2 linked regions of the Danio rerio genome follow. The protein of the gene in region 1 interacts with the protein of each later gene in a pairwise test. Links are inferred from orthologs where the notes say so. Each region holds a gene or a part of one and is shown on either strand. Other genes may lie near its edges.

What was found.
Region 2: the proteins of kpna5 (region 1) and anp32b interact in binary tests that used the Homo sapiens proteins (3 or more experiments, as listed by UniProt). The two-hybrid records come from large-scale screens. The link is inferred for Danio rerio from reciprocal best matches to the Homo sapiens genes KPNA5 and ANP32B.

What each region holds. Positions count from the first base shown.
Region 1 is NC_133191.1:35,374,793-35,378,626, reverse strand, and holds part of kpna5 (importin subunit alpha-6), read left to right. Parts: intron 1-1,105; coding exon 1,106-1,205; intron 1,206-1,289; coding exon 1,290-1,384; intron 1,385-1,472; coding exon 1,473-1,604; intron 1,605-1,723; coding exon 1,724-1,812; intron 1,813-3,834. UniProt on the Homo sapiens protein: Functions in nuclear protein import as an adapter protein for nuclear receptor KPNB1. Binds specifically and directly to substrates containing either a simple or bipartite NLS motif.
Region 2 is NC_133176.1:28,300,120-28,304,047, reverse strand, and holds the start of anp32b (acidic leucine-rich nuclear phosphoprotein 32 family member B), read left to right. Parts: upstream 1-1,125; 5' UTR 1,126-1,292; coding exon 1,293-1,346; exon of another isoform or gene 1,347-2,723; intron 2,724-3,145; coding exon 3,146-3,295; intron 3,296-3,382; coding exon 3,383-3,505; intron 3,506-3,928. UniProt on the Homo sapiens protein: Multifunctional protein that is involved in the regulation of many processes including cell proliferation, apoptosis, cell cycle progression or transcription.

The sequences.
Region 1 (3,834 bases):
TGGCGAGAGCGTCAAGGTAGCCAGAAGTCATTCATTTTTTTAACGAGAACCGGCGGCAAGAAACAGCGGCGCGTCTTCATTGGCTATGACGCGGTTCAGCGGCAAGCAATCAGAATGAAGTAGTCCACCGCTTGAGCGGAGTTCAGAGAACACAGACCTGTAAACTTTGGTTCCGACCACAGTTGTTCCCAAGAGTTTGATTATTGCGGTTCCTGGATTTTCAATTATTGAAAATCGCGACGACGTGGGGCCCCCTAATCACGCGGGCCCCCCCCCGCGGTGCGTGCCCTGCGGGCCCGTCCGCTACGCCACTGTATAAAATATATTTTCCCAACAACAAAATTGTGGCTAGTGAAAATGGCGAGTGGCTAGTAATGTTGGAAAACTACTAGCCAAAGTGGCTAATGATCAAAAAGGTTAATGTTAAGCCCTGTATGTATGTATGTATGTTTGCATGCATGCATGCATACATGCATACACACACACACACACACACACACACACACATACACACACACATACACACACACACACACACACACACACACACACACACACACACACACACACACACACACACACACACACACACACACACATATATATATATATATATATATATATATATGTGTGTATGTATAATGAAGAATATAGTTTAATATAATCTATCATGTAGTAAAATTTCATTAATTTGATAAATTTAATCATTTAGCAGCAGGCACTTTGGTCCAAAGCAACTTACAAATGAGGAGGCATTCAGCAATTCTACATGAAGAAGCATTACAAACAAGAAGTGCTACTTATGAAAGGAACTGTTAGTCCTCAAAGAAATATGAGCTTGAGTATGGAGGGGGAGGGGAAAGAATACCACCTCTGCTTCATTTTGAGCCAGGAAAAACCCTGTATATGTATGTCTGATGTATGTCTATGTGGCTGGCTGAATAAAATAATAATAATTCAAAAAATCTTACTGCCCCTCAATGTATTCAAATGCACACACACATAAATGAATATACAGTAATAGTAAAGCACAAGACCCATACTGGCACATTTTGTCCATTTATTGAGTTAAAAACCACATGTAAAATGAACATTATCTCTGCAGGAAGGAGTCATAACCCAAGACGTGATTCAGATGATCTTCTCTGAGGATCCAGACCAGCAGCTAATAGCCACTCAGAAGTTCAGAAAGTTACTCTCTAAAGGTTAATATCTTCACTGATTCTCTTATAAACTTAAGAATGACAGTCGTTTAATGGTACACTTAAAATGTTTTGTGCTTACCTCAGAGCCCAATCCTCCCATTGATGAGGTCATCGGCACACCTGGTGTTGTCAACCGATTTGTTGAATTCCTAAGAAGGAGTGATAACTGCACACTGCAGGTAAGAACATATCATTACAAAAACCTTGTGAATGCTACATTGCCATTACAGACCATTTTTATGATGTATTGTCGCATGCTTTGTCCAGTTTGAAGCTGCGTGGGCCCTGACCAACATTGCCTCAGGGACCTTCCAACACACCAAGGTGGTCATTGAGACGGGAGCTGTGCCCATTTTTATAGAGCTGCTCAACTCTGAGTACGAGGATGTACAAGAGCAGGTGATTATAATTATTATTATTTAAAAATAGATAGCCATTTTTAAATTCTTTTCAGCCAGTAGCTGGTTTATAAAAACTCCAGAGCACAATGAAAGTGTTGTGTATGGCTGTTTTTGCAGGCCGTGTGGGCGTTAGGAAATATTGCTGGCGATAACGCAGAATGCAGAGATTACGTCCTCAACTGTGGCATTTTGCCCTCTCTTCAGCAGTGAGTGTCTTCGGCTGATACCGAAACTGTGATTGCAAGCCTTTATATTTGGGTTTTTTGGGAATTGTGTAATATCTGGTGAATAGCTCTCCGTTATCTCAGTTGCGCAGGTTTCTTCATCTTTGCCAAGGCTGTTAAATGTCTGCCACACAGCAGTGTTCATTTTGTCAGTGAATAGTTATTTCAGCAAAAAAATTTCACGGATGAAAAATAAAAAATGTAATAAAAATGAAGCAGTTTTGAAATGACACTACCAGCGTTTTTAACTTCAGATGTAAATGAGTCGACAACAGGTCTGAGATTATTCTTATCAGTACATGATCAGAAAACTTAATTTTGTGAAATTGTAATATTATAATTGAACTAAGTTATTTTGGTTTTATTTATTCAATATGATTTATACTTGTGTTCAGGGGTGTAACTGATCATGGTTGATTCGTACAGATCACAACCCACAGTTCGGAACATGTGACCTGCAGATTTAAAAAATTAACTTGTAGATTGATCATAAATTTGTAACGATTGCAGAGAGATCGCCTTTTGGGTCGTTCAAATCACAATTATAAAAGCTTTCCCGTAAAATATAATGTTGACAGAAGAAGTTGTGGTATTCGGGGTGTTCGGGTTATTCGAATGTGGTGGGTTTCTTCGGCTATTAAAGGTGTTTTCTGTCACTACTTGTTTAACCTGCATCAATGCTTTGAGTAAGCTGCACTATTAATCATTAAAAGATCGGGATCTCAACATCCATACAACACAAATTATAAATGATGGTGATTTGCATGTTTATTAATTCTTCGAATCGCTGCATTCAAATCTGAAAACGCAAAAATCAAGAAGTTGAGTTGGTCATAAAGTTACAAACAGTCAAATAACACCGAAGTACTGGGGTAGCAGTTTATAGTTCAGATAAAACCCCTGGGGCCTCATGTATCAACGCTGCGTACGCACAAAAACATTGCGTACGCCAGGTTTCACGCTCAGAATCGCTCACGTTTGGATTTACTAACAATGAACTGAACGTGGGAATGTGCGCAGCTCCACGGCAGCTTTATGGCTGGCGTACGCACATTTTTTGTGCGTGTCTGTTTTATTTCCATTGGCGACTCCTAGAGGCAGTTGTGTTAAATTCTTCTCTACAAAGTGTCTGATCCTTGCAATGGCAGCTGTATGAGACGGGTTCATCTAGTAGGTATGTAAGATTTCCATACCATACAGTTGACCAGCTAAACATTAAAGCACAATTTGCAGCGGTCGCCTGTTTTCCCAATGTAATCTGAGCTATCTACTGCACACACATTGCTATAAAGACACTATCTGAAGATGAATTTGCAAACGTGAATCAGAAACATTTCCATTCAATAAATGTGCAAATAAAATATGATGCACAAACTTATTAATGATTCCTACTAGTCTTTCTCGTGATAAATAGTAGGCAAAATATGATATGTAGCGGGGGAAAAAAAGAAGATAGAGTTCATCTGACGCTGGATTCGAGCCGAGTTCATGCTCGAACGTGTCAAAACATGATCACATGCGTCTTACGAGCTAGCCACTGAGACTGTTCAGAGTGCTGCAACAGTTTACACATATAAACCACACTATTTCTTTTTTAAATGCACTCAGTGCGATGTTCAGACCCAACTGTGTCAACCGCATCAGCTAAACTCTCCCACTCTATTTTTTTTCTTTTGTTGTTAATTCCGAAAAACAAACTTGCAAATAACACCGCTTTTCTCCGATCTACCTCCGAAAGCAGCACCTCCAATTCACATTCTGTTCAAAGTTTCTCTTTTTGCTTGATTTTGCCGTTGCTTTTTCGTTGGGTTTTGCCATTAGCATAGTCATTAGCATATTCATACGGGGGAGGAGGCAGGGAGGGGTTTTGTGCTCGTGCATGTTGCGCTCAGTTTCACGTTCATTCAGATGTACAAAAGAATATGCGTGAGATTCGGCGTACGCAGTGTTTCATACATCTGAATTTTTTTCTGCGTACGCACATTTACAGCTTTGTGCGTACGC
Region 2 (3,928 bases), on another chromosome or scaffold:
AGTTGACACTACAATTACAAATCTCTTATCATGTTGCCATACAAGGCATGCTAAAACTGGGTTAGGGGTTCTCATAATTCTGTACATTTGTGGTATTTATGCTTTCAAATTTCTAAATGTCTCATTTCTGGATGTGATTTTATCAGTTTTTGTACAGTTTTTTTATTTTTTTGTACAGCTTGCTCATATGTTTCCCCTAAATATTACATAAATGTTCAGTTTTTAACAATGGAGTTGCTGTTGTTTTTTTTAAGCCATATTTTGCTTATGCTTGAAGTTGGTCCATTGTTATATTTTTTTTCTCACCATACTGAAGAATATGAAAGACCTGAATTATGAGACAATGTAGAGGCAAAAAAACAAGATGATGCCCTCTCCTGGCAACTTGTTGAAGATTCCAAGTTTCTTTGGAACAATAAAATCATGATATTCAGTTTGACTCAGTATATAACAGTAAATAAAGTACATAATTATATTTAAAATAATAAAATCATAAAACACAAAGATTACTTTAGAAGACTTTAAACTCTTTAAAAAACTAAGAGTTATACTTAGTGATATACCTTTGATTTCCAGAACACGATTTATTGTTAATGTGTGATTAAAGATTCTGAATTAAGTATTAAAATATGTATTTAAATGTGTATATGGCTGATGGAGGGAGAGTCTTCTTTTTAACAATAATTATTTCTTTAGTAAAACTTAACATTAATATTAAAATAAATTATTGGCTGACTGAAATTTAATGACAGTGTCACATTATAACGCATGATTTATTTTAATGATTGATTTATTTTAATGTGCACACTTTAACCACACAAAGAAGTTATTTCAACCCTCAGTCTTTCAAAAAAGTCAGAGTTCAGTGTATGACTTATTCAAGGTTTCTAAAAAAGGTAAAATGTACAGCACAACTTTTTTTTATTCTTAATACAATAAATGACATCAAATAAAACTGTAAGTAATCTTTACAACCAATAACAGTATGAAGTAATAATAGTGCAAAGAATCAAATTGAGACAATCTTTTCATGTCACACTGTAATGCAGCAGTGTTTGATCTTATACTCGACTGCAGTGGGGGCGCTTGGCCAGAGATGGCGCTATTGAGTATATATTAGTTTCAGCGCCGTTTCCCTCCATGGTTTCTGCTCTCCCAGAGTAACTTGGCGCTGGGCTCAGATCATTATACAGTCCCATATTCTCCCTCCATTAGGCATCTTTCTACCTTTTGGGCTGAACAGAAATTCCTCCAGAACCCAAGAGGGAAGAGTCCAACTTTTAAGGGGCGAAATGGACATGAAAAAGAGGATTCATTTGGAGCTGAGGAACAGGACACCATCTGATGTGAGTAATTTTGAGGCAAACCTTTAGTTTTGTGCTCAGCCATGCTAGCCTTGCTACTTTCTACTTCCACGGATTTGTGTGTAGTTTAATGGTAAGCACATGGGTGTAATGCCCCTGGTACAGAGTTAAATGAGAAAGTGCTGCGCGTACATCTACTGCATTAATGTTTATTCGTATCATTTTGTTATGAAAGGAACCAGGCTGAGTAAGGTACACTCAGCAACGTTACTTAGTTTGGAAAGCTGAATGAAGGCATTATTGCAGTATTCTAAGCCCCACACGCTGGATACGTTACGTGTATTCTTTTTAAACTTCATATCTGCTTATTTTAACCTCGGCGTGGTAGGATGTGGATGGGATGGTTTATTTCGCCGCGGTGGCCATGTTTGTTGCTAACATGAGGCGCCCTTTATTACAGGCACTTAAAAGCTAAAGCAATAAATCAGATATTCTGTGAAGATAACCATACGCTAACAAATTTTCGTAAATACGGTAACATTTCGGTCTTAATCGCTCTACGGCGTATGTATTCTTTCAACTAAAAATAAAAATATCAGGAAAGGCAATTAAAAAATAAAGTTAAATGTGTAGTCTGACTAACATGCAGTCGCGATATGAATTGTATTCTAAAGGGTAACATGGTTGTCGATTATATGAATTAACAAATTTTTTTTGAAAAGTTTAGTTTTTCTGACTGACTAGAGATGCTCTAAAGTAACCTTAAAACGTGCAACATGAACGCATGTATTACTCATTAAAAAGCTCGTGTTGGGTTTTATTCGTTAAATTGTTACTCGCTGTTGCGAGACGCCGATTCCCGCCATTACTTCCCACGCGCCACTACCGATCACGCTAACCATTATATTAGATAAATGATCGCTTTGATTGTTTTTAAACGTCTAAATGATCTACAGTATAAAATAACACTTGTAGAGACCAAAACAGCGACTGAGGAAAAAGAAGCTAACGTTACGTTACATGTGCTAACTTGATATGACAAACCGGTACAAATGTTTGGTCAGTTCTAAAATCCACCAAACATCGCGTAAAATATTGTCCTGATAGCCGGAAGCTTATAGTACGTTTTTCGAACGCAGCGTTTGATTTTTGTTTAATGTGTTGTTTTTTCAGCAACACAAGCTATCCAAGGAGGCGCCATGTTGTCATGAGAGAAAGAAACTCTCCATTTTTGTCTCACTAATTTCCGCTCTGTCTTCGTCTTTCGCTGTAGGAATACGCCATCGACATATCGCTTCCATCTTACACGAGCTCCTAAATGCCCTCCATTTGTTGTTTGTCAAACGAAATTAAACAAAACACGGCGGTGTCTTTCGGATATATGTCCATGTTGTCTGGCTGTCGGCGTGTAATCTGCTGTTTTCTCATTGGCGACTCGCTGCGACAGTCTGAGCCATAGGGCCATACAACAACAGCAGCAGCAGCAACCGCTTAACAAACAGCCTTCAGTGGTTTTCATTTTAGTTTCTTGACTACAATTTCATCGAACTAGCTTACGACCACTCACAGTGTCAAAATCCCCAACACACTTTAAGACTGTGTTTACAAAGACTGTTCTTTGTTTTGTCTGGTTAAGAAACTATCAGAAAAAAAACTGCATAGTTTGTCGCCTTTTTATGGCATGCTTATGGCCAACGTGTCCAACACCCCTTTTGCAAAAGTCACATAAATTTTTTTTTTTATTTGAATCATGATTGTTATGGTTATTACAGGTGAAACCTGTTAATATTGCAAACAGTATTTTATTATTATTTTTATTTCTTACCTTTTGTTTAATCTAGGTACGAGAACTTGTCCTCGACAACTGCAGATCAAATGAAGGGAAAATTGAAGGCCTCACAGCAGAATTTGTTAATCTTGAATTTCTAAGTTTGATAAATGTTGGTCTGCTCTCAGTATCCAACCTTCCTAAACTCGGAAAACTAAAAAAGGTAACTTAAAGTTTTCTTATTGTTTACCATCTTTCAAACATGTGCACAATGTTATATGTTTTGATATGGATGTATTGTTATTTTCAGTTGGAACTCAGCGACAACAGAATCTCTGGTGGCCTTGACGTTTTAGCTGAAAAACTCCCCAATCTCACACATCTAAACCTAAGCGGCAACAAACTGAAAGACATCAGCACATTGGAACCATTGGTTTGTAAACACTTCCTTTTCAAACTAGATTATGGTTTTACACGTTGAAATTTGGAGCTTAACTTGCATCACAGCTTATAAATTTTAGTTATTTATTATTATATAAATTATTTAGTTATATAGTTAGGTTAGTTAAGTTATGTACAATTTAATATAAAATGTGATGTGCACAATGTTCAGCATCCCTTTCATTCGATTGTTTATCAAGGGTCTACAAGTGTCTTTTTGCTACATTATTTTAAAGACTTTTTTATTGATAAATATTAAAATTAATTTTTTAAAAGTTTGAAATATTTCAAGAAACACTTAATAGATTGAAACAACTTGTGGTTTACTTCATTTTCTATGTACCAATTGAACCATTCTAAAAATGTCTATACACAGAGCTTTGATCTTTAAAAAAAAAATTAAGTCTTACAAAGA